4 linked regions of the Caenorhabditis elegans genome follow. The protein of the gene in region 2 interacts with the protein of the main gene of each other region in a pairwise test. Each region holds a gene or a part of one and is shown on either strand. Other genes may lie near its edges.

The links.
Region 1: the proteins of abu-11 (region 2) and lys-1 interact in a two-hybrid assay, tested with the Caenorhabditis elegans proteins (one large-scale study listed by BioGRID).
Region 3: the proteins of abu-11 (region 2) and gtbp-1 interact in a two-hybrid assay, tested with the Caenorhabditis elegans proteins (one large-scale study listed by BioGRID).
Region 4: the proteins of abu-11 (region 2) and W03G1.5 interact in a two-hybrid assay, tested with the Caenorhabditis elegans proteins (one large-scale study listed by BioGRID).

Annotation. Positions count from the first base shown.
Region 1 is NC_003283.11:10,275,097-10,280,587, reverse strand, and holds lys-1 (Lysozyme-like protein 1), read right to left. Parts: upstream 2,685-5,491; 5' UTR 2,681-2,684; coding exon 2,219-2,680; intron 2,025-2,218; coding exon 1,590-2,024; 3' UTR 1,532-1,589; downstream 1-1,531. Other genes in the region: lys-2 (Lysozyme-like protein 2), read left to right, coding at 1-220; Y22F5A.11 (uncharacterized protein), read left to right, coding at 5,011-5,039, 5,090-5,186.
Region 2 is NC_003280.10:190,845-197,168, forward strand, and holds abu-11 (Activated in Blocked Unfolded protein response), read right to left. Parts: upstream 3,715-6,324; 5' UTR 3,691-3,714; coding exon 3,616-3,690; intron 2,971-3,615; coding exon 2,752-2,970; intron 2,704-2,751; coding exon 2,134-2,703; intron 2,072-2,133; coding exon 1,748-2,071; 3' UTR 1,665-1,747; downstream 1-1,664. Other genes in the region: T01D1.8 (ZP domain-containing protein), read left to right, coding at 242-449, 496-615, 1,088-1,195; chs-2 (chitin synthase), read left to right, coding at 6,141-6,227.
Region 3 is NC_003282.8:10,124,177-10,130,533, forward strand, and holds gtbp-1 (Ras GTPase-activating protein-binding protein gtbp-1), read right to left. Parts: upstream 4,781-6,357; 5' UTR 4,770-4,780; coding exon 4,667-4,769; intron 4,577-4,666; coding exon 4,452-4,576; intron 4,400-4,451; coding exon 4,337-4,399; intron 4,293-4,336; coding exon 3,764-4,292; intron 3,709-3,763; coding exon 3,466-3,708; intron 3,419-3,465; coding exon 3,060-3,418; 3' UTR 2,573-3,059; downstream 1-2,572. Other genes in the region: ctf-18 (AAA+ ATPase domain-containing protein), read right to left, coding at 1-56, 104-356, 932-1,389, 1,435-1,603, 1,647-1,849, 1,896-2,134, 2,177-2,343, 2,398-2,462; K08F4.3 (Translocon-associated protein subunit beta), read left to right, coding at 5,218-5,271, 5,324-5,428, 5,523-5,757, 5,804-5,958; Putative sodium-dependent excitatory amino acid transporter glt-3, read left to right, coding at 6,220-6,314.
Region 4 is NC_003282.8:503,493-509,004, forward strand, and holds W03G1.5 (PB1 domain-containing protein), read right to left. Parts: upstream 2,993-5,512; coding exon 1,577-2,992; downstream 1-1,576. Other genes in the region: pig-1 (Maternal embryonic leucine zipper kinase), read right to left, coding at 3,566-3,655.

The sequences.
Region 1 (5,491 bases), on a different chromosome or scaffold from region 2:
TGGTACTTCTGGAGAGACAAAGCCAACTTTTGCTGATTTCCGTGCTTTCGGCCCATTCAAGAAGGCTTCAGTGAAGCAGTATGCTCAAGTTGAAACAGTTTGTAATTTGGTTGTGAATCGTGACGTGTATGCTGTTGGAATTCCAGCTGCTGCTCCAAAGACTGAAGTCAATATGGCAGATGGTGAAAAGATTGTTGTCGGAGGATTTGTCGGAAACTAATTTATTAAACTTATTATCGGTTTTATGATCTCTTCCCAAATAAAATTGTTATCATCTGTTATCATTTTGCCGGCAGAAGAATTTTCTTGAAGGAGAGAAAAAGTCTAAAAGTCACGAAAGTTAAACACATTGATATTAATGCGTAAAAAGCGATTAAATGCATATTATCGTTAGGTGTCAATGCAACTTAAAAAGTGCAAAAACATCTTCGTATGTTAATTTTCAGATTTAATTATTTTGAACAAATGATTTCTTTTTTTCAAATTACGTTGAGTTCAACAAGCCTTCCACGCGGGTAATATTGAATATATTCTATCCTATACCCTCTCAGATAAACTGGAGTCACGGCTGACTAGGGAACCGTCAGAAGCTGCCCATCGGACTTGCATATGAGACCAATGCCATTCGATAGTGCATGTCTTAAAACGGTTGCTCGTGAATTTTTAGCGGCAAAACTCCAGAACCAAGCTCACGGCGGGCTCTCAAAGATCTTAAAATAGCACTGTAAGGAAGAACTTTAACGATCTAACGAAGCAATTTTCGAATTTCACTTTGGTAGCTCATATCTCCGTAGATAAATTTTTTACAGAAAAGTCATCAACTAAAAAGTTGTTGATATTGTTGTAAAGAACAAGTTTGTAGTTGAAAGTTTTTTACCAAAAAATTTTTGTTTGCGAGAAAATCATTAGAAACGGAATAGCAGCATAAAAATAACAACACCAGTTGCCGCACTTCACGCACTTTTATCTCAAACAAAAATTTTGTGGTAAAAAACTTTTAATTACAAACTTGTTTGTTACAACAAAATCAACAACTTATCAGTTGATGACTTTTCTGTAAAAAATTTATCTACGGAGATATGAGCTACCAAAGTGAAATTGGAAAATTGCTTCGTTAGATCGTTAAAGTTCTTCCTTACAGTGCTATTTTAAGATCTTTGAGAGCCCGCCGTGAGCTTGGTTCGGGAGTTTTGCCGCTAAAAATTCACGAGTAACTGTTTTAAGACATGGGCTATCGAATGGCATAGGTCTCATATGCAAGTCCGATGGGCACCTTCTGACCGTTCCCTAGTGAGGGACAGGAAATCACTGCCAATTAGCATTTATGCCACGGCTATTTTAACTTTTTAAATGTTTACTTTTCAAAATTATATTTATAGAAACGATTTCCACAAAAATCTTCAGAAATAAAGTGAAATCGTCATGCGAAAAGACACAATTAAAATTTTACTGATCATTCATTTTAATTTCTGGTATATATCTGGTATGTTATATGGTATATTTCAGTATTTTTTAAAATAAAATTTTAATAAAGCTAGGATTGTTTATTGAAATAATACAAATAGGTAAGAGATCACAACATAAATATTTTAGACTCCAATGACTCCTCCAACAACAATCTTTTTGTTGTTGCTGCTGATGTCCTCTTGAGTGAAAAAATCAGTGTTTTTCGATGAAGCAGCAGCTGGGATTCCAACAACGTAAACATCACGATTGACGGTCAAAGAGCAGACAGACTCAACTTGAGCAAATTGCTTAACAGAAGCCTTCTTGAAAGATCCGAATGCACGGAAGTCATCGAAAGTAGCTGGAGTCTCTCCAGTAACACCACCTCCAAGAACATGCCAATACCAGAGAAGAACATCAGAGCTCAAAGTTGCCCAGTTTCCAGTAATTTGGCTCCAGTCGTATTGGTTGGTGTAGATTCCGACAGTCAGTCCGTATTGCTTGGCTCGTGAAATAATGCTGTTGAGGAAGTTCACATTAGTAGTTGCAGACTTCTGCCAGTTGGCTGGGGAGGTAACCTGAAAGAGTTCAAGTGTATAGACTATAATCGTCGAGAATTAAATTTCTTATCAGTTGAAAATTGAAAAATAATCTCCGGAAAGAAGATTTTAATGTTTAAGTGTACATTGTTTCCAGTTTTTCACATATGACATTTTAACTAATTTAACTTTTAATTGTTCAAGGTTTTTTATATTTCTTGTATATAGCTAACCTGAATCCAGACAGATCTGATGGTGATTCCATTTCCGTTAAGTCCGTTATAAAGAGCATCAAGTTGTTGGTATCCTTGAAGAGAAGAAAGTGGTTGTGGAGTCATGTAGACCTCAATTCCCAATCCAGCAGAATAAGCATTTCTGATAGAAGTGACTGAAGTTGTGTCGAATGCTCCAGATCCAAATGGAGTGAAACCTCTGATGAAAACAGCTGCATATCTGGATGTCTTGAGGCAGTTCATTTGAGAAACTGTTGTTGGAACAGAAATATCAACTGCGTAGGCATATGAAGCATCATTGTTCACAACTTCCGGAGCTGGCTCGGCCTTGATCTTCTCGAAACCAATATCAGTCACTTCGAAGTTGTCCTGTGGAAGAGCTACAACTCTATTAGAGTCGACATCTTGTGGTCTAGCAGAAGCCAAAGCAAAAAGGAAAGTAACGAAAGCAAGCTTGAGCATGGTTCTGAAACAAAAAACAGAAAATAATATTGACTTGAAGAAAAGTGCCAACGAAAAGGTTGAGAGAATGAAAATCTAATGATTCGGTGATGGATGGCGGCTCGTTTAAGTAGAAGAAAACGTCCAGTGATAAGGGTAATCAGTGGAGATAGAAAAGTGACGAGTAGGGTGAAAGAGATTCATTCGGGGGCGTTAGTAATATTAAATGTCAAGACTATATTAATTGGAAACTGGAAAGTTGATGATAAAATTAAGTACTCTTTTTAAATAATTTCTACCAAAATTAGTTATGCGATTAGTCAAAAAAAGAAGCATTCTTCATTTAAAACAAAATTTCTTTCCGCGACCAATTTGGGCAGGGAATTTTAAAGCGGTTGGAACTGAAGGTTTCTGATAAAATACTTCTACAAATGTGAATATGACTCATGCGATTCTGTCAATAGAATACTAGCACGCTATGACATATATCACTAGTCGCTAACGGCTATTGCTGATAGTTTCTTAGATGAGTCACTAAATTTATTTACATCCCACTTTTCACATGTTATTCTGTTGGTTTTGACGAACATTCTATCATGAGTTGACGAAGAACTACATATTTTCAATACATGGTCAGACAACGTTAGCCATATTGCCGACAATTTGAGAATCAAAGGTTGATTTATATTTGAAGTTTAGATTTATCTTTTCATGATATTCCGAATAAAAAACAACGATAGATCTTTGTGTTTTATTTATTAGATATTCTCATTTTCTTTCTTTTACTTCATGGAAATATCATTTCCAGGCTGGCTGCTTCATCTTTAATGTCGGTTTCGGATTAACGTCTAGCAATCTACGAAGAGGATCTTTCACTTCCAAATATCAAAACCCATGTGACAACTTCAACAATTGCCCAATTTTTCCACATTCCAAATTCATTGTCCATTTTTTTCCGTTTCAATAAAATATTTGGTCACCCTTGTGCTCTTCACCATCCATATTCCTTCATTGTCACAATTCGAAAAGCTCCAAAAATTCGAAAACGAAGAGTAGAAGGATGTGGTCGCCTCTCGACAACAATTGACGGACTCTTCCCGTTTGCCACTTCACCAAACTTTCCTTTTTTCTATTCTTTTCTTCGTTTTTTTTCCTTTTCTCCGCTTATTTTCTGGAACCGACATCTCGTCAGTTATGCTCCGGTGCCTGGCCAATCACAAGACAAACCCAGAAAAAATAGAAGCTCGTTCGCATCCAAATGAGTTTTCCTGCGAAGAAAATTAAAAGAAGAAAAACGTAAGGTGGCCTGTTAGGGTTAAAATAGCTGAGCGGAGGGAATTCCTAGATAAAAAAGAAGAAAACGTAATTCACTTGAATATTTATCGGTGACTATCTTGAGGTTTCTAGTTAGAAATGAAGATCAAGAATCAGAGATTTTCGGTACCTTACTTTTCCCAGTTTTAGGAATAATGAAGATCTTTTTAACTGGATCAGCAATTTTTTATAGATGTTTTATAAATTACAGAAGACAAAGCAAATATTGGCATTAAAAAACAAATAAACTGCTATAAAAACATTGCACAACATTAAACCCTTTCAAATACACCTCTCAACAGAAAATAATCAAAAAATACTGAGATCAAACATTCATTCGCTTTCCTAGGATTTTGTGCTCTCAAAATGAAAATCCAGCTGCATTCTCAAAACTCGAAAATATATGAATTGCACTTACTAGGCAGATGGATTTGGTGAGAGTTTCAATAATCGATCTTTTACAAATGATAACGTGCATATATTTTTGAAATCAGTATTATAGCCTTCAGAATGCGCAAAAAACCTATAAAGGTTCACATTGAAGGTGACCATGCCGGTTCGAGGCGAGATTAAGTGACTTTTGTGACTTTTATACGCTCAAAATTCTAGTATTGTAGGTCGCTTCAGAAAATGTATGCCCTTTCGTAACAATTAAAACCTAATGAACTGTACATCTCTTTTCTTAACCCATGTCCACCTATTTTGCTCTGTTGGTATGTCATCAACGATGCGAAAAAACGCATTCATAATAACGAGCGGTCGACATCCGGCGCAGAGCACTCGTGTATTATTTCCGGGGCATTCGTCCGTTTTTGTCCGTTGCTCTCTTTCTTCTTCGTCTTCTTTTTTCTTCTTCCACGAAAACTCTTCTCAGCATCGCCTTTTCTCTGTGTTTTATGTGTCCGATGGTTTCCCGTCCCGTTTTTTACGAGTTCTCCTTTTCCTTCTTTCTTTCCATTGATCGTCCCATTCGTCTTTTACTTTTTTGTTGCTCTTCTTATTTTTTGTTCTGAAAAGAATCCGCAAATGTCTTCTCCATGAGTATGCACAGAGAACGTCTGAAAATGTATTTTGCCAGAAGAAGAAGATAGATAAAATGAACATTTTGAACTTTAGAATTGGGATTCTCAGTTTCAGCCAACTAACCGGCACAAGGAGCAAGTGGCTCTGGGGAAATTTTATTTTCGATACACTGAACATATATCAAAAATAATCCTAAATAATGTTTATTCTATTATGTCAAATTTTATATTTGAAGCTCAGTTTGCAACGGTACCACTTGCCTTAATTTTTGATCCATGTTCCAAAACATTAATATTTTAAATAAAGTTGTCTTATCCCACTATGTATAAGTTCATTAGCTAAAAAAAATCACCAGTTATGCAGTTTCCGAAACTACAATCATCATTAAGATTGCTAGTATAAAACTCCCTGTGGAAGAATTTTCATCAAGTACGGAATGTTTTTTTTCTATCCCATAGTAAAATTGAAAATTTGGCATTCTGTACCCACTTTTTA
Region 2 (6,324 bases):
ACTGATGTCCGGCAAACGGCGAATCGGCAATTTGTCAAGAATAAAAATTTCCGGCACATTGGCAAACCGGCAAATTGTTGGAATTCTAAATTTCTTGCAAATCGGCAAAACATTTGCCGAATTCGCCGAAATTGTCGACAAAAAAATTGCCGTATGGCAATTGCGGAGGGATTGATATCGTCTTTGAAATCAGGAAAAACATAAAACATTCAATTTATTTCTTTTTGAACCATCGTTGTAGGTTTCCTGAACCAGAATGCAAGTACAGTGTACATCATGGATCAGACAAACTTGGACGAATTGTGACATCAAAAGTGAACATTGGAGATGAAATTTATCACTCGTGGAATTGTAATTATAGTGGCGATCACAAAAACTACTTGTTCTGTGTGATGGTCAATAATTGCACGATTTCAGACAGCGGGGAGGAAGAAATAGGAACAAGGAAGGTAAGAGCAGGTCGATAACAACTCAATAGTAGAGTATCATTTAAAGATTCAAATAATCGACGAGAATGGGTGTTCGGTGTTCCCAAACATTCTACCCGATATATCATATCAAGGAGATTTATCAGCTGGAATTAAGGTTCACGCGTTCGCATTGGATGTGGACACGGTAAGTTAAAAGTGGAATAGCACCAGTGGGAATTTTGTCTACAGTTATAATAACCCAAAACCACCGAATATCATAATAAAACACTCAACAAATTTTAGATTTTCATAATTTCCGGTCAAAGTTTTGGCAAATTTCCCTATTCAAAAAAAAAAAAGATTTTGAGGAAATCTAAGGCAATGTCGCATCTTCCGACGTTCTATAATGTTTCAAGACGAATAACCAAGACAAAATTACAGTATAAAGAATGTAGGAAACAAATTTTGGTCGACTTTCAAAACTATGAGTGGCAAATGAAAAAACTGAGTAATTGCCACTTTTTGACAGTAAACAAAAAATTCTTTAAAAATTTTTGAAAAGTTTTATTATGGTATTTGGTCATTTTGCTATAAAATGAGTAGTTTTTAACACTCTCCCCACTGACGCTACTCTACCTTTAAGAATCGTGTGGAAAATATCACTTCTAAAATCTCAGACGGCTGTTCATTTCACATGCAATATAAAAATGCTGTTCAAGGACCATGAACAGTGTCAGAGGCCTCGATGTGGAAACCAACGACGATTTTCGAGATATTTAAATTGAGATATGATATGAATAAAACATTTTGTCTAATAAAATTTTTCAAAAAGTTTCACACGCAGGATTTATGTACGAAATGTTTAATTATTATTGCGTGGAGGTTTTTTGTGTCAAAATCTATAACAACTAATATTCCCAAAAGACTGGAATTAAACACCGAAAACCCTTATTGACGCAGGTAACACCCTTGATGACCGTTCATTATTTTAAGTTTCTTACCGCTTTTCAAATATAACACGTAATTGGTGGGTTTAGCTTTTGTGGTAAAACTTCAGTTTCAGAAATTGAGTGGAAAAGAAAAAAAAGAAGATAGATGTTCCGCAGATTATAGAGATTGAAAGCTAAAATTTACATGACTGAATGATTCATAAATTTTTCTATTCTAGAAATTTCTCTGTAATTATCATCCCAAGAGGGAATAATAATGATAAAATATTTAGTGAAGATGTATGATGCAGGAGATGAACATATGTAGAAAACAATTTATTTATCAAAATATACACAAAAAACCATCACAAAGTTATTTTTTCCCAAAAATTAATAATTAAAGTTAATTTACTTTCTGCAGGAAGCCGAACAACTCTGCTGACAAGCTGGCTGACACTGCGAGATTGGTTGCTGTTGCTGAATGCATTGGGTGTTGCAGCTTTGCTCACATTGTGGCTGACACTGTGGGGACTGACGAGCAACTGGAACATTGATGGTAAGCTGAATTTGTTGTTGCGTTTGAACTGGAGCTGCTGGAGCAGCTGGGGAGCAGGCTGGCTGGCATTGAGCGTCGCATTGTGGAGCGCACTGGTTCACTGGGGTCTGCTGGACTTGGCATTCCTGGTTGCACTGGGTTTGGCAAGTGTTGCACTGGGAGATGGTTCCTCCGACCTACAAATTTAGGTTGGATTTCTTTAAATCTAGATTTAGAAGTAATACTATTAATATGTTACCTGAACATTGGTGTCTCTGTATGGCTGGTAGGTTGGTGCAGCAGTCTGGGAAGCTCCTTGGTATGATGGAATGGCTCCTGGCTGTTGGTAGTTGTTGTTGGTTTGGTAGTTGTTCTGGGCCTGTGGCTGGTAGTTGACTTGGTTGTAAGCGGAGCCAGATGGCGTGGCACATTGTGGCTGGCACGATTGATCACATGATGATTGGCACTGTTGCACTGGCTGCTGTTGCTGCTGGCATGTGTTAAGGCACGAGTTTTGGCAGGTATTGCATTGACTGGCTTGTTGCTGTTGTGGTGGGGCAGTATTGTACTCGGATCTTCCGGTGTAGGCTGGGATTTGTCCTGGCTGAGCGTAGGTTTGCTGTTGGATCAATTGTTGAGAGTACTGATCATCGGATTGACATGTCGTCTGGCATTGCTGCTGGCACTGTTGCTGTGGTTGTTGTTGTTGTGGGCAAGCAGCTTGACAATCTTGTTGGCACTGTTGCTGAGCTGGCTGCTGAAGCTGAACTGGCTGAGCGCATGCGGACTGGCAAGTGGAAGAGCAAGATGATTGGCACTGGGCGATTGGCTTAAATAATATGAAATGGCTAACTGGGTTGAATTTGGTTTGACTAACCTGTTGCTGGGCAACACAGCTCTGTTCACAGGAGCTCTGACAAGTTGGTGCACACTGTTGTTGCTGATACTGTTGAGCGCATCCGCAGCTTGATGGCTGTTGAGCTTGAGCGCAGGAGCAAGATTGTTGGGCGGTGTTGGTTTGAGCTGGTTGGCAGTTGCATTGTGGAGCAGCTGGAATGGCGCATCCACATGAAGATTGGCGACGAGCGCGGAGGAACTGAAAAAGGAACGACTTAATTTTTCAACTTAATTTTTTAGTCTTCTGGATAATATCTCATTTGCAAAAAACCTTCTAAATAGGCCCTTGCAAAAAAAATTAAGCGGCAGAGGAGAACTTAGAACTAGAAAAATTTCGATCTGAAGTTGCTATTAGTGTATTTTTTTTATTACTTTAGAAGCCCGTAAAATTGAAAATCAGAAAAACCCCTTGAGTGAAAAAATTTCAGATTTTTTCAAAAAATTAAAAATTCCAAAAAAATTTACGATTGTTAGCCAGCTCCTAAACATGCTAGAAGCTCTTGAAAGTCAGCAAAAATTCACACTTGGCACATTTTTACTGCCCTCGATAGTTCGAAAGTTGTGAAAAATTCATTGAAAACTTTTCAGAACGACTTTTTTGCAGCTCAAAATACTCCCCTGTTGCTAAATTTTCAGTAGTAAAATAATGAAGTCAAACGATAAACTATTTGAAACATATATTAAGAAGTTCCTATATTTTACTTAATTCATATTCAAGTTATGCAATTGCTTGTGAGTGAGCACGAAATGTTTTAAAATTAAAAAATAAGTATTTATAATATAAGAGTTAGAAAAGGGGAACAAATGAAATATTTATAATTAGATTCATAAAAATAATACATACCACATTCTCCTCAGCAGCCACCGCAAGTGCTGAAACCGCCAAAAGCGAAAAGAGAATTGAAAATTTGGTGTTCATTTCAAGCTTGTCAGAGTGAGTGATGATTGTCCCAATACATGCTCTTGCTTATATATCTTCCCGTTGCAATCAGTTAAACATCGCCCCCTCTCCTCTACTACCACCTCTGTCCCAAATTCCGGTTTCTTCGAGTGATGCGTCTCCAAATTTTTTGCGTGTGCCTGTGTGTGTGTGTGCTCATGTGTTTGGAAGAGCAGAGCAAGAGGGGGAGGGCGTGTTGTTATGTTGACATGTTGTTATTTTTTTGTTTTTTACTTTCTAGTATTCACAAGGGTTACAGTTGAAGAACTGGAGGGACGTGATCTTTCAGGACTTGGTCGATGTCAAAAGTCTTCCGGTGGTCTTTCAGCAGCCATCACAAACTACAGCAAAATATCTTTCTTCTTTAAATAATCTTTCTGATTAATTTGCAGTCACAAATTCAGTTCCTCATTCCTCATTACTCATAGAGTTATTACAAAGACAAAAATAGATATTTGAGAGTTCACTCGGTCAATCACCATTTCTAAAGTTCTTACTTTTCTTCCCAACAACATTAATTATCCCTGTGAAGTCTAGACTATGATATAATTGTTGTTGCTCAGAAAATAATCATGGAACATATTTGCAAATAAATAGATTTTTGTATATGGTGTAAATGTCATGAGTAATATATTACGTAATAACATTCTGACAGGACAATAACGTATGCTCCATGGGGTTTCAGGACGAATGACATGTTTTCTAGAAACTACATGAGTAAAATAAATTAATAACAAGATTTTGACAAATTCAAAACCCAATGGCAAAAGTATCATTTTCAACTTTAAATGGTTATGTTTGCAAATATAAGCTGTTTTTGTTGCTCTAGGAAGATATCAGTTAAAAACTCTTTAAAAAGTTATTAAAATGTATGAAGATTGCTTTCATTATTCTCAAACTTGTCATGTAAAACATCAAAAACCTGCCAGTCTATGACCTACAAATTGCGTCAATTGTTTGATGTTCTAAACTTGGTGAGAACTAGTTTACCAGCGCTGAATCTTTTTTGTGCTCAAAGCGGAATGGAATTTTTTGATCTTAGTCATTGCATCTTTACTCTTGTGGAGGTGCACTCATACTAATATCATATCATATAACCTGATAGTCTTGCCAATATTGCGGGAAACTGATAAATCCACTCGGCAAATAGTTTTGGTGCAGTTTTCGATATTTAGTACGAATGTTTTTATAAAATTATTTCAAGGGAAACCTTGAATACTTTGTAAAATTACATTGTACCTTTTTGCAGATAGAGGTCTTAAATTCATATTACATTTTTTTACAGCGCCTTCACACCCACCCAAATCCAAATTCCGTTGAATTGTTTTCATTGATACTCATGATTTTTTGTTACCACAATCGCTCACGCTTTTCAAGAGATTATTCTTGAGGAGCATGTTTCCTTAGGATCAAGGGTGTGGGAAGAACATTGCGAGAGTGAGAATGAGCACGGAAAATGACCGGTCTTTATGAGAGCGGAAGTATGTATACACTATCTCTATCTTGTTAGACAAATAATCAACACATGTAGTAGCTAATGTAGGAATGCTAATTATGTTAAGACGTGTGGGGGGATTAGATGCTGTGAATGAGCAGTTCTACAAAAGATCAAGGGGTACTGAGAAATTTGCTCTTTTCGATAGGAAGACTCTGCAAAAGATCAGATGCATGGATTCTCAAATCACAGCGTGTATTTGAGAGCTACACAACAAAAAATGTGTACGGCTGTCGAACCGTATTATACAAAAACTTTTCAAATTAGGGGCGGGCGGCAATTGCCGTTCGGAAGTTTTTTTGTCGACAAATTCGGAAAATCGGTAAATTGCCGGTTGACTGGTTTGCTGAAAATTTTCAATTCCGGCAATTTGCTAGTTTGCCGATTTGCCAAAAATTTCAATTCCGGCAATTTAGCAATTTGCCGGAAAAAATCGTTTGCCGCCCATCCCTGATTCAAATATAATATTTGAAAGAAGTTTCACACATAATATGTTTATCAACTTTCTGAGAAAAAAAAGCCAAATTTAGGTTTTAGCTATTGTGATTTTTTTCCGAAATTAATTTTTGGCACCTCAACGTGTAGTCCAAGAGGTAGACAGTTTCAAAAAGTGATGTTTAAAAATTTCCAAAACAATTGAGCTTGATTTTCTGATCCTTGAATAATGTATCGATGCTTGGTCGTTGCCTACGTAATCAGACGTTGTTTCTTCCTTTTCGTCTACTCACTAATAGAATACAATCCTGTCTGCCTGAAAACCGGTGCTCACAGGCACCCGCAGGTCATTCAATGACAGCTACAACAACTAATTGTTTGGGAGGCAAATACAACATGAAAAGTGAGAAGAAATGGGTTTTGAATAGGGGGAAATCGCCGATGGGCAGAGACCTTGTGAGGCTCAGTTTCATATTTTGCCATAGTATGACGTGCTAGGATGGACAGTGGTAATAAGGAAAAGGAGTTTGTGGAGGAGTGGGTTCAGGACTCACATACTGGAGCCCAGGTCCCTCTCGATCATTTGGTTAGTTGTTTTTTCTACATTTATTTCCTTCACATTCTGTAATTAAAGTTTATTTCATAAAAGCGCATCATTATTTTCTAGGCCCCCACAAAACTTT
Region 3 (6,357 bases), on a different chromosome or scaffold from region 2:
ATTGACGACCAATGTTCGAAAATAGAAGCAGATCCGCCTTTCTCTTTCTCAATAACCTAAAAAACAGATTTCTATTAATATCAAAAAATATACAGCGTCATACCTCATGGATCAACTTCATTCCAATTGCTCGATTCGATTTTCGTGCTGCCACCGCTACCCATTGAAGAGTATTAATTGAATGTCTCATATCATTTGCACACAATTCGCATAACTTTCTCAAAGTACTCAAATCACATCGAAGACGTTCTCGGTCACAAATTTCTTCCAGTCGTTTTGCTAAAACATCTTGTTTTGTTGCGACTAGTTGCACACACCAGGCGACTCCTCGTAAATCACGCAATGCTGGCGTATACCTTTAAAAACAAATAATTAGAAAATCAAACACATCTTACGAATACATTGAGTTATCCCGATAAAGGGGGTTTGTGTTCCGATTTTTACCAAAATCTGAAACCAAGAATTTTAGTTTTTGATTTCTTTCGATTTTTCGAAAAATATCTTGAAAGTTTGATCATTTTTATTCTATTTTATTTTTATTCATGTTTTCTTGTGTTTTTATCAACAAAAACAGAATTTGATTTCAAAAAAAAAAAATAATTTTATGGTTCACTGATTTTTTTTCTTCGAAAAATTGTCGTTTTTCGATTTTTAGATTTTCAGTGAAAAAAATCGTCAAAATTTTCGCTGACATCTTTGTTCCCGATTAGGACTGTCGTTTTTAGTTGGTGTTTCTTGCAAAAATGGATTTTTGGACTAAAAAACAAAAGATTATCTTTCAAAAATGTAGGTATGATGGAAAAATCAAAAGTGTTTTTTTTTTCGGTTTTTTGGAGAAAATTGGTTTTTGGTTGAAAATGTTTTTGCAACTGTTCCCGATATCCTATTATATATTTTCTTTCTGTGTCACTGAAGCCATAAAATAACTTACAAATTATTGCAAATTCCAATAATGGGTCGCCGAATGGCTTTTTTGCCTGTTGCTTGAATACACCGAACCAAATGACGAATAGTATCAATTGGTGTTCCATCAATTTCATCAAGAATCAGGCATGCTGGCCGTTGATCTGCATCAAGTGTTCGAGATGTTTTTACAGCTCCTTCTAGTACTTTATTTAAATCTGCGACTGTTCGAGCATCACTTGCATTTACATCAATTGTTGAATAGCCTGCTTGACGAGCGACAATTCGTGCTAGTGTACTTTTACCGAGACCAGCCGGGCCAGAAAGAAGCAACATTTTCGATGATGGACGCCGAATTTTGCCATTATCCATGTGTAGTACTTCTCGTTCTTTTTCACCGAGGCTTGCTAGTAAATCGTCGACTTTTTGATGGAACACACACTCGTCCCACATTTTCAGCCATGTAAGAATATTTCGATTGACAGTCTGCAATATCGTGACTTCTTTTTTTAAAATAATGTAATTCCTTACACTGTCCGAGAGCAAATCTGAGAAATTTTTGGCTTCGTACTTGTTCACCCATAATGATGATTCTGGATGAGATTTATTATTTTCATATTCAGACGGTGTTTCAGTTTCTTTAAGCATGCGTGAAAACTCGGCTTCCTGTTCTTTAACGCGAGATTCTTCTTTCAACTTGCTGAAAACTATAAAAGTATTCAATTTTCTAGTGAAACTATTACCTAAGACGTTCGGATTCCTGACAAATCGACTGAAAAGCTCGAAAACCGACCCTCGAACGGGTTGCTTGTTGGGTAATCGATTCTACTAACGGAACAGAAAGACGATCATCACGGAAAGTTCGAATATAAAATCGTTGCCCGTTGACGACATCACTGATACCAATCCAAGGTGAACCATCAGTTACCGGATTTCGCATGATTTCCTGAATTCAATGATAAAAATATAATCTTTCAAGGAAAAGTAATAACCTGTCGTCTTCTATATCTCCGTTCCATTTCTAGCTCACAAAGTGAAGAAATTGTCTGCTCTCCGCTTTGAAAATCGTCAAAAGCATTAGAATGATGATTTTCATTCATTTTTCTTTCAGCTTGAGCAGCTGCTTCGTTGATTTTCTGTTCCAAGCTTTCGAGGGCTCTTCTCTTAACAGCATTTACTTGTGACTTTTGTAATACTTCACTGGAAACTGTTTCCATTCTCATATGCCAATCTAAATATATAATTTAATTGGAAAACCTTCTTTTTGACTGACCCATTGGATGTGAACGTCTTCCATATTGATCAAATACGTCTTCTACTTCATTCAAGCGTCTTTTTCTTTTACCATATCCAACTTCTTCGAGAGCATTCCTAACTTCATTGATTCTTTGATTTTCAGAGTCTCCATTCGGAACTACAGCTAGCTGATCCTCATCATCTCTTAAAATTCAGCGAATGTAAAACTACTTCTGCTTCTCAACATAAAGATCTTACGGATATTCAAGTTGCCCATCATCGTCGGCAAACCCAGAATGCAGTACATTGTAGTCATCATCCATGTCTTGCTGTATCCATTAGAAATGTTAGAAACACAATCTCACAACAATAAGTACAATACACTGTTACTTGACACACTACATATAAAAAAAACAAATTGAGAAACTTGAATAATTTAGATACAAAACTTTATTTTAATTCCAACGTGCCAAAATGGGGGTAAGAACTTGAGTACAAAGAGTACTCCCGAACACCAATGAAGGAAACAATAACGGGGGCTTGTAAAAGGAGAAGGAAAGTGGTAATATATTAAAACAACATTCAAATACAACTTGGATATTCGGTGGTGGGATGATGTCTGATTGCAACTTGTACTCGAAAAGAGTAAACTCAGATGGGATCACGGTCGTCAATCACCGAAAACCGGGGAGATAGGATGTGAAAATGGGATGCGGGCTGATTGGATTGGATTGTTGAGAGATCTACTAAAACGCTACACGCCATAAAATTCAGATACCAGAATCTTCTTACTTAAATCATCATTATTAGAACGGTGAGGAAGGAAAGGAGAAACAATAAATAGGAAAATGAGAAGGATAGGTACAGAATCTAATGGATGTGCAATTCTTACAAGAAGGAAAAAGGAGAACGGAAAGCTTCTAATTTTGTCCCGCATTTTGGAAACCGCTGCGCATACCACCTCGTGGAGCACCACCCGAACCGCCACGGCGGAAGAATTGTCCACCGCGTGGTTGGAAACCTCCACGTCCTCCTCGGAATCCGCCGCCTTGTGGTTGATCACGTTGCTCACTAATTTGAGCATGTCCGTCAAATCCGAATGCATCCAGTTTGAGTGGAAGCTTCCACACGCCTTGCTCATCCTTTGTAGCCGCTTCGAAAATGGCTTTTACTCCGGCCTTGTTACGCATGGTAATAAATGCAAAGGCATGTTTCGATGTGTCGTTCGGACTGTCAAGAACCTTGCGCGGCATGCGAACCTCCTCGATTTCTCCATATTCTTAAAATGAAAATTTAGTGAACTATTGGGACTATTAATTTGCTTACTGTAGAACACCTGCTTGATTTCCGATTCAGCCTGAGCTGTGTTGCTGGGGACAATCTCTCGAGTGATTCCTCCCAAATAGATCTTACGCTCATTTAGGTTGGCATCTGAACTTTCCTGAGCTTGGCGCAATTCATTAGCTGGGTGCGACTGTCTCTGTTGCTGATAAAGAGGAGCATGCGATCCTTGTTGTTGCTGATGCATGGAAGGCTGCATGTGGTGCATTTGTGTTTGCTGATGGATTTCTGAAAAATAAATAATCTGAGACTAGCCCGATCATCTTTCGTTTTTTCAACTCACGCTGTCCTTGTCCATAACTTTGTTGTTGTGGGGGCTGAGACTTTCCACCTCCACCCACAAGATTAGCCCACGTTTTCTGAACCTTTGGCTGTTCTTGAACAGGCTCAGGAACTGGGGCTCTCTGCTGTGGGGGCTGTTGGGCAAGCTGTGGTTTCTGCGGTGTTTTCGCTACCTCCTTTTCCACAGATTTCGGAGTGTCTTGCTTCACTATACGATCTTCAGCTTTCTTTGGCGTTTGCTGCTTTGGAGGAGCCGGCTTTGATTGTTCCTTAGGTTGCTCGGTTTTGGAAGATTTGGAATCCTTTCCATTTGCTCCACTGGCGTGTCCGTTATGACCAGTCGACGAAGTAGTCTTCTCCTTTTCCGTATTCGCGACGAAAAACTTATCAATGTACTGAAAAGCGTCTGATTCGACATAGTATTTTTTCTGCCCTTGTTGCCCAAGCAAAAATGATTGAAGGAATGGACGGAGGTTAACGGTTCCGATAACATTGATAATCACTCCCTGTTTGTGTGGGGTTGGGTATCCCTTAAAAATATATTTGTAGGAAAATCGAAGAACGTCGTGTTTACCTTGATAGATTGAATCTTGAAGTGGGTGGTTTCTGGTAGATGATTGTACAACTTAACAATCTCCTAAAAATATATTAACGAAATGTATTTTTGTCAATTTATATTTGTTGCCAACCTGCGATCCAGTGACCACCTGATCATCCAAATAGAACTTCGATTCATGTCCATAGAACTTGGTAATCGCTTTACGGTTCTCAGAGACGGTGATATAGAACTGATGGCAGAACGCTCCACCGACTTCTGAAATAAAATCAATTTAATGCAATATTCGGGATTGAAAGAATTGAAAGAAAAGGTGTGTAAGCACTTATTAAGTGCGACATGACTCACGTTCAGCGGCTGTCAATGAGAGTGGCTCGACCGGAGCGGTGGAAGTCAAATTACCATTGATCGGATCCATCTTATTCTGGGTTAAGGCCGAGGTTATCTGCATTTAATAATTACCTGAAAATGTTTATTTTTGTTTATAATTTTAAAAACGGTTTATGTAAAAGATGACGAAAAAATAATTTAACCGCTGCTTGCTTCATGATATCAAGTTTAACTATTTTGGAGGAAACTAGTTGTAAAACGGATAAATTGAACCGGAAAACTGAAAACGAACGTAAATCCGAACGCGCGAAATTCGAAAGAGGCGTTTTTTGGCAACGGGCCAGTTTGATTCGCAGGCACGCTCGTTTGAATTTAGTGATGGGTCTCGGCACGATTGCCATTTTGCGAGGCAGTTCAAATACACTTTTCTCTGCATCCTCCGTTTGTAGTACAGTCTTTTGTTTCTTCTCGGTTTTCCACGTATTTCCAGCTTAATTTGCCAACAAGGCGTTTATTGAGAGAACTTCCTACAGATTTATCAAATCATTATTGTCAGTGAAGCGCCTAGCATGCAACTGGTTTTCCTGATTCTCTCTGCTCTTGCAGCTGCTGATGCTTCTGCGGTAACTTTATCAAATAAAATTTATAAATCTGGCTAAAATCGTATAATTACAGAAAATTCTTATCGGCAAATCCTTCGTGACCAAGTATCCGGTTGCACAAAGAGAAAACGCATTTGAATATCAGATTATCAACATTGGCCTTTCTCCAGCTCTCAAGGTATGTTTCAAAAAGTCGCAAAGATTTTCTTTAAAAATTAGTTTCTTTCTTTCGGATAACGCGAATTTTGGTTAGAAATTGTCGATTATTTCAGGTCGAGCTGTCTGATCTCAAATCTTTCCCAACTGACCGATTCGAGATTTTGAAAGGATCTGCAACAGCAAGTTTTCCCGTCATTCCTGCGAATTCCACCATCTACCATCACATTGTTGTCATTCCTCGTGTTCCTCAAGCCATCGAAGATCACGATGTTACCGTGAACTATACTGATTCCGAGACTGGCAAACGTGCGCGAACCTCTACAGTCTCGTATGATAAGAGAGGATACAGTATGTTTTGAAAACAACGGAACTAATTCAAAATTTTAAACTTAAGCTCATTTCTTCGCCGAAACTGCCATGAGAAAAGTGGAAGGAGTCAATTGCACACACTTCCTCGGATTCGGAGCCATCGCTTTTCCATTGACTGCAATCCCAGCAATTCTCTACTGGATCTCCAAACGTCGTTATTCAAACAAAAAACAGGATTAGCTTTCGAATCGTTGTTTAATTTTACTGGTTATCAATCTATGGGTACACATATAAGTCAGCTTTAAATTGTATTTATTAGCACCCGGTTGAAGAATAAAATATTGTAGTTTTTCGACAATTTTATTTTCCACATTTCAATGTCAACTGCGTCAGCCGAATGCAAATTTCAGACGGCACTAGAATAGTTTGCATAATCCCTCTCTTCTCGTTAGTTGAACGAAGCGAGTCGGCAGTCGAGTTGTCAAGAACAACACAGACAAGATGGGCATGAAGAAGGATCTTCTTCTTGTGCTTACCATCGAATCTGTCGTGCTCGGTGTTGTCTTGGGCTTCGTTATTCGACCTTTCAATCCCAGGTGAGAAGATCTTTAAAATCTTTCGGGTCTAAATTGTAAATTT
Region 4 (5,512 bases), on a different chromosome or scaffold from region 2:
TCTAAATATACTCAGTATTCCACATTGCCAATGTATTTGATAAAATAATGAAGGGATGGGGAACGAGCCGTGACAAAATTTGTATCAAATGCGCGGGGCGCGCGCAGAGAGTGCGCCGGGCGTTCGAGACATTATTACTAGCGCGCTCCGTCGGCGCGCCCGCTGCGAAACGTGCGCGCGCCAGGAGTAGCAAACTGCCGAGTAGTAACATGTATATGTATCTCATATAACATGAGCACAGATTATGCAACGGGTAAACAAAGCTAGAAAAATCGAAGCTCAAACAAGTAATTGGAATAGAAGTCCGATGTTCAAAAGCTTGTTACAAATGTTTTACTGCACCATAAAAATCTGATAAAAATGATGGTAAGTTTAACAATATTAGTAGATTGAGAAACTTCGGCTTTAAATTTTCATATGCATAGTTTTTAAAAATCATTTCGTTTTTGAGTTAGCATCCAAATTACAGTTCAACTCTACCACGGTCAAATTTGTTTAAAAGTTTTTTTCAGTTTTTTTCTACAAAATTCCCTAAAAATTCACTCAACAACACTAAAAATTGTTCTTTTTCAGAATATTGGTTTCGAAGAGTTTCAGAAAAACAATTTTTGACCAAAAAAAAGGATGGCTGAAAAAAAAAAGGAAAAAATAAATAAAAAGTTGTCTAAATTTGTTGAAAACTGGTAATTCAGGTATGCTGAATTCAGAAAATCTTGGTTTAACCCATCAAAAACTATTAAAAGGTACCAAAATTGGGCTATTTATGTTGTTAAAATTCACAATTTTGAAACTCCTCTAAAATGGTTAATTTTGTTGTTAGAAGACTCAAAATTGATTTCCGAACACTAAAAAGTGTCCTTTTTCAATTTTTTAATGGTTTCGAACATTTTCAGAAAACATTTTTTCTGTCGAAAAAAGCCTTGGAACACCAGTATTACAGCATTATTACAAGTACGTTTGACCGATGTTTGTCTGCTAGGTACACATGCAAACAATTTTGAACCTACGAAGTAGACTGAAATTTATATAACACTGCCACTAAATTAACATCTTCATATCGAAATTTGTTACTAATAAATAGCAACCAACATCCAACTTCACTTTAGTCAATTCGTCATATTTCAATTTTCCATTACTCCGATTTCATATTTTGCAACCTCTAAAGCATAAACCACACCGAATACTACAAACTCTGCGTGTCTCAAACAAAAGCAAACTACACACTCATTGTGTCAATTCCTCTCTCTCTCTCTCTCTCTCTCTCAAATTGTTCGTCGATCAACAGAAAGTGGTCGAGATGTCTTCGCCTTTTGGAAGCGATCAGTTGGCCTTTTGGGGAAGCCTAGGAGTCTGGTGGAAATTGGAAAAAAACAGACGGAAAGGAACTCATGTTTGTTCAGTTGCCTAGGCAATTGCCTTCCTGGAAGAATCAATGTTCTCTTTTTTTTATTTCACCTGAAAATCTGAAAAAAAAACAAAAAACATAACACGATTTTTTTATTTATTTATTTACAACTTTATTGATCACAAATAAATATACATTATGCACAGTATAATAAGCATCAGAATTAAGAGTTTATGGGGAGAACGAACGATGTCCATTATGATGATGGTGATGGCAGTGACCGCCACGACGATGTGGAGGCCAGAATGGTGGTGGTGGTGGGCATGGTGGCCAGAATGGTGGAAAGTGATGATGTCCATGATGCGGTGGGAATGGACGGCATCCATGATGATGATGGTGGTGGTGGCCGTGACGAGATGGAGAACGTCCATCATGGTGATGATGGTGTGGTGGTCCGTGGTGTCCATGACGCCCTGGGCAGTGTGGTGGCCCGTGACGTCCTCCGTGCCCGTGTCCTCTAGGAGAGTGGGAACGGGATCCATGTCTTCCATGGCGTCCTGGACAATGTGGTGGGCCGTGGCGTCCTCCGTGACCATGACGACCTCCTGGAGATCCGGAGCGGGATCCATGCCTTCCGTGGCCTCCATGACGACCTCCACGATGATGCCCTGAGCCTCCGTGACCATGACGACCACCTGGAGATCCGGAGCGTGATCCATGTCCTCCGTGGCCTCCATGACCATGACGACCTCGTGGAGATCCGGAGCACGATCCATGCCTTCCGTGGCCTCCATGACGACCTCCACGATGATGCCCTGAGCCTCCGTGACCATGACGACCACCTGGAGATCCGGAGCGTGATCCATGTCCTCCGTGGCCTCCATGACCATGACGACCTCCTGGAGATCCAGAACGGGATCCATGGCGTCCACCGTGTCCACGACGTCCTCCCGGTGACCCCGATCTTCCACGATGCTCAACACCTTCGGACTTTTGCTTCTTCAGCTGCTTCAACTCTTCTTTCTTTCCTTGCTTCTCGGGCTCCTCATGTCTTCCGGGAGATCGTGATTCAGAAGATGATGATGACGAGCTGGATCCTGAGCGGCCACCACGTCCTCCACGTCTTCCACGAGATGGAGATCGGGAAGATCCAGAAGAAGAAGAGGAACTTCCAGAACGCTCACCTTTCTTCTTGCGATCATTTTCGTCATCGCTGCTTTCCGATCCTGACGAAGACGACTCGGATTCCGATCTTCCATGAGACACCTTCGAGAATGAGGAGCTGCTGCTGCGACGATCATCCTCATCGTCTTCGCTCTTCAGATCCTTCTTCAGACCCTTCAGATCCTTCTCACCAGTTCCCTCAGCGTACAGCTTCACCACAAACCTCGAGAACTTGATCGCCTCCTTCAGATCCTCGGCTGTCTGCAGGAAAATCTGATCCTTCTCCCGATCGATCCAGAAAATGTTGGCAAAGTCGACCTTGAACTCGGCGAGCTTCTTCTTGAGCTTCTCGAGCAATCCGGCGACCTTCTCATACTTGATAGAGAATAGATGAGCCTGTTTCGAATCTTTAGCAGTAAGTTTGAAATAAACTTCGCGCCCCGGGCGCTCGCGGCGGTGGTGATGATGATGTCCGTGAGCCATCAGTAGCGACTCAATATGACAAAATAACTGCATCCGCTCTCGCTTTTTATACTCGGCCACTTGTTTTTCGTGAGATCAGCGGCAAAATGGGTGGAGTCACTGTGAGAGTAAGACGGCTAGAGCAAATACGAGTTAGAGTTTTTGGCGCTGAACACTTGCGCAACCTCACTAGTGTAGTGGAGAAAGCACGTGTTTTTTTTTGGGGGGGGGGGGGAAAGGATTATTTGTGGCTGGCGGGAAAACAACTTTTGAAAGAGATCTTGATCATTCATACCAAAAAAAGGCGGGGTATCATTGGATAAGAAGAGCATACGAAACAAAAACTTAAATTCGAGGGATTAGTAGAGAGGAGAGAGGAATATTCAAAAAATATTACACGATTGGGAAAAATTCGAAAAAAACAGTTTCGAAAACAACTTGGAACAATAGAAAATAAGAATAATAATAATAAGAATAATGATAACGGGATTGATATTCTACACACACACACAAAAACCCAGGAAGACGAGAATTTGGGCGAAAATTAGGGGGAAAATTTAAGAAAAAGGAAAACAAGAATATTTATAATAGGAATTATTCGATTTTCGCCATTTGAAGAATCTTCTCGCACACCTTCTTGTACATGAACGCGTCACCTTTCAGACGCTTTCTGCGGATTCCGACCTGAAATTTTAATGGATTATTTTTTGGGTCAGGTAATGGGAATTTTTATTGGGTAAAAATGGATTTTTTGGCTATTTTTGTTTTTCTGGCATGTTTTCAGTTTTTGAAAATCGCACATACATTTTTTAGTTTGTGTATTCTGTGTTTTCTGGTTTTTTTGGCAAAAAATACAATTTTTCCGTTTTTTTTTTGCTGAAAATCACTAAAATTCAACTTTTAAAAAATTATGAGAAGGTGTACAATTTTCCAAAATATTAAGTTTTTCAAAATAACGTTTCAAAATTACACAATTTTTAAAATTACACAAAGCTTTTTCGTGTTTTTGGCAAAAAATGTTTTAATTTCTTTCGGAAAAAAAATGTTTTCTTTTGGAATCAACCCTACTTTTTGCCGAGCTTTTCACAGTTTTTAGATTATTTTTTTGCCGTATATTTACGCATTTACTGATAAAATCGCGAATTCATCATTAATTACCAAAATATCAAGTTTTTCAAAATAACGTTTCAAAATTAGACAATTTTTAAAAATGTTTTTTTAAACTCAGATAAACTGGAGTCACGGCAGAGCGACAGAAAATCACTTCTAATCAGCAAAAGCTAGTAAAGCCATAGTTTATCAGCAGAGAACCACTGCTAATTAGCAGGTCATTGCTAATTAGCTAAAAAGCACTGCTAATTAGCAGAAACCCACTGCTAACTAGCAGAACATTGATTATTGATTTTATTTTGTTTTTTCTTCGTCGTATTTCACATATTTCATTTTTTTGACCTTTTTTATTGTATTTTTTGTGTGATATGTTATCAATATGTGTTAATTGTTAATTCCAGTGTGTTTTTCAAAGATTTGTATCATTCCCGGCTAGAAACGGAGGATTATGGCCAGAAATCCAAGAACAACAGTTCGAAGAATTTTGAATTCAGCACCCCGGAGTCTTCTGATTCAAAGCGTGACAATAGTTGCTCTAGGTAAATTTTTTAAATGATTTTATTGGGACTAAATAACTACTTTCAGACCCGACGGACAATAATCATGGTTCTCACCAGCCGGGAAGCAATGGTCCATCAAATTCAAGCACCCAGGCCGATAACTTCGAGACGGAAACAACTGCAGATGAAGAACGACAAAAGGAAGATGGTGTAGAAGATGAACTCGAAGACGAAGAAACAACAGGATTCATTGATGAAGACGGGGAAATTCGTTATCCGGTCGATGAAGTGGGAAATTACGAGATCGATCAAGAAGCTGAAACCGATGAGTCATTTTATTTGGACACTCAACGCGATTCTTCTCTATGCGACGAGCGAAGTCAACTGTGTCGTTCTCTGAGCGATCAAAATCTGAGAACAACTTTTTTCCTCATCACTACTACCAACTCGAAAGCAGCCATTTTGAGATATCTACATTTTCACAATGTTTCACAAGATAGCATTCTCAGAAAATTGCTACTGAATGACTCTCATCTAACACTTGTAGAAGTATGTAATTTATGTGCGCAGAATATCGAACTGTAGGTTTATTATAAAACTAAATTTCTGAAATATATCATTACAGATGCAAATGTGAAGATATGCAAGAGAAATGCCAACTAATTTTCGGAGATCTCAAGAAATGGCTCGAAGTTATATTGAATAGTTTTGCGAATATCATGATGAAGACTAAAACAACTATTTTGGAAGGATATAATAGCTCCAGTCCAATAAATAAGGGTATCTTTAAAAAAAAGCTACTCAGCGAAATGGCAGATAATGAAATGTGGATGCACTTCGAGAGTAGCTTCGACGGAATCAAAGTACATAAAAATGGAAAGTAAGTATCTTAGTTTGATGGCTCTAAAAATTTTAATTGGTTTTCAGTCAG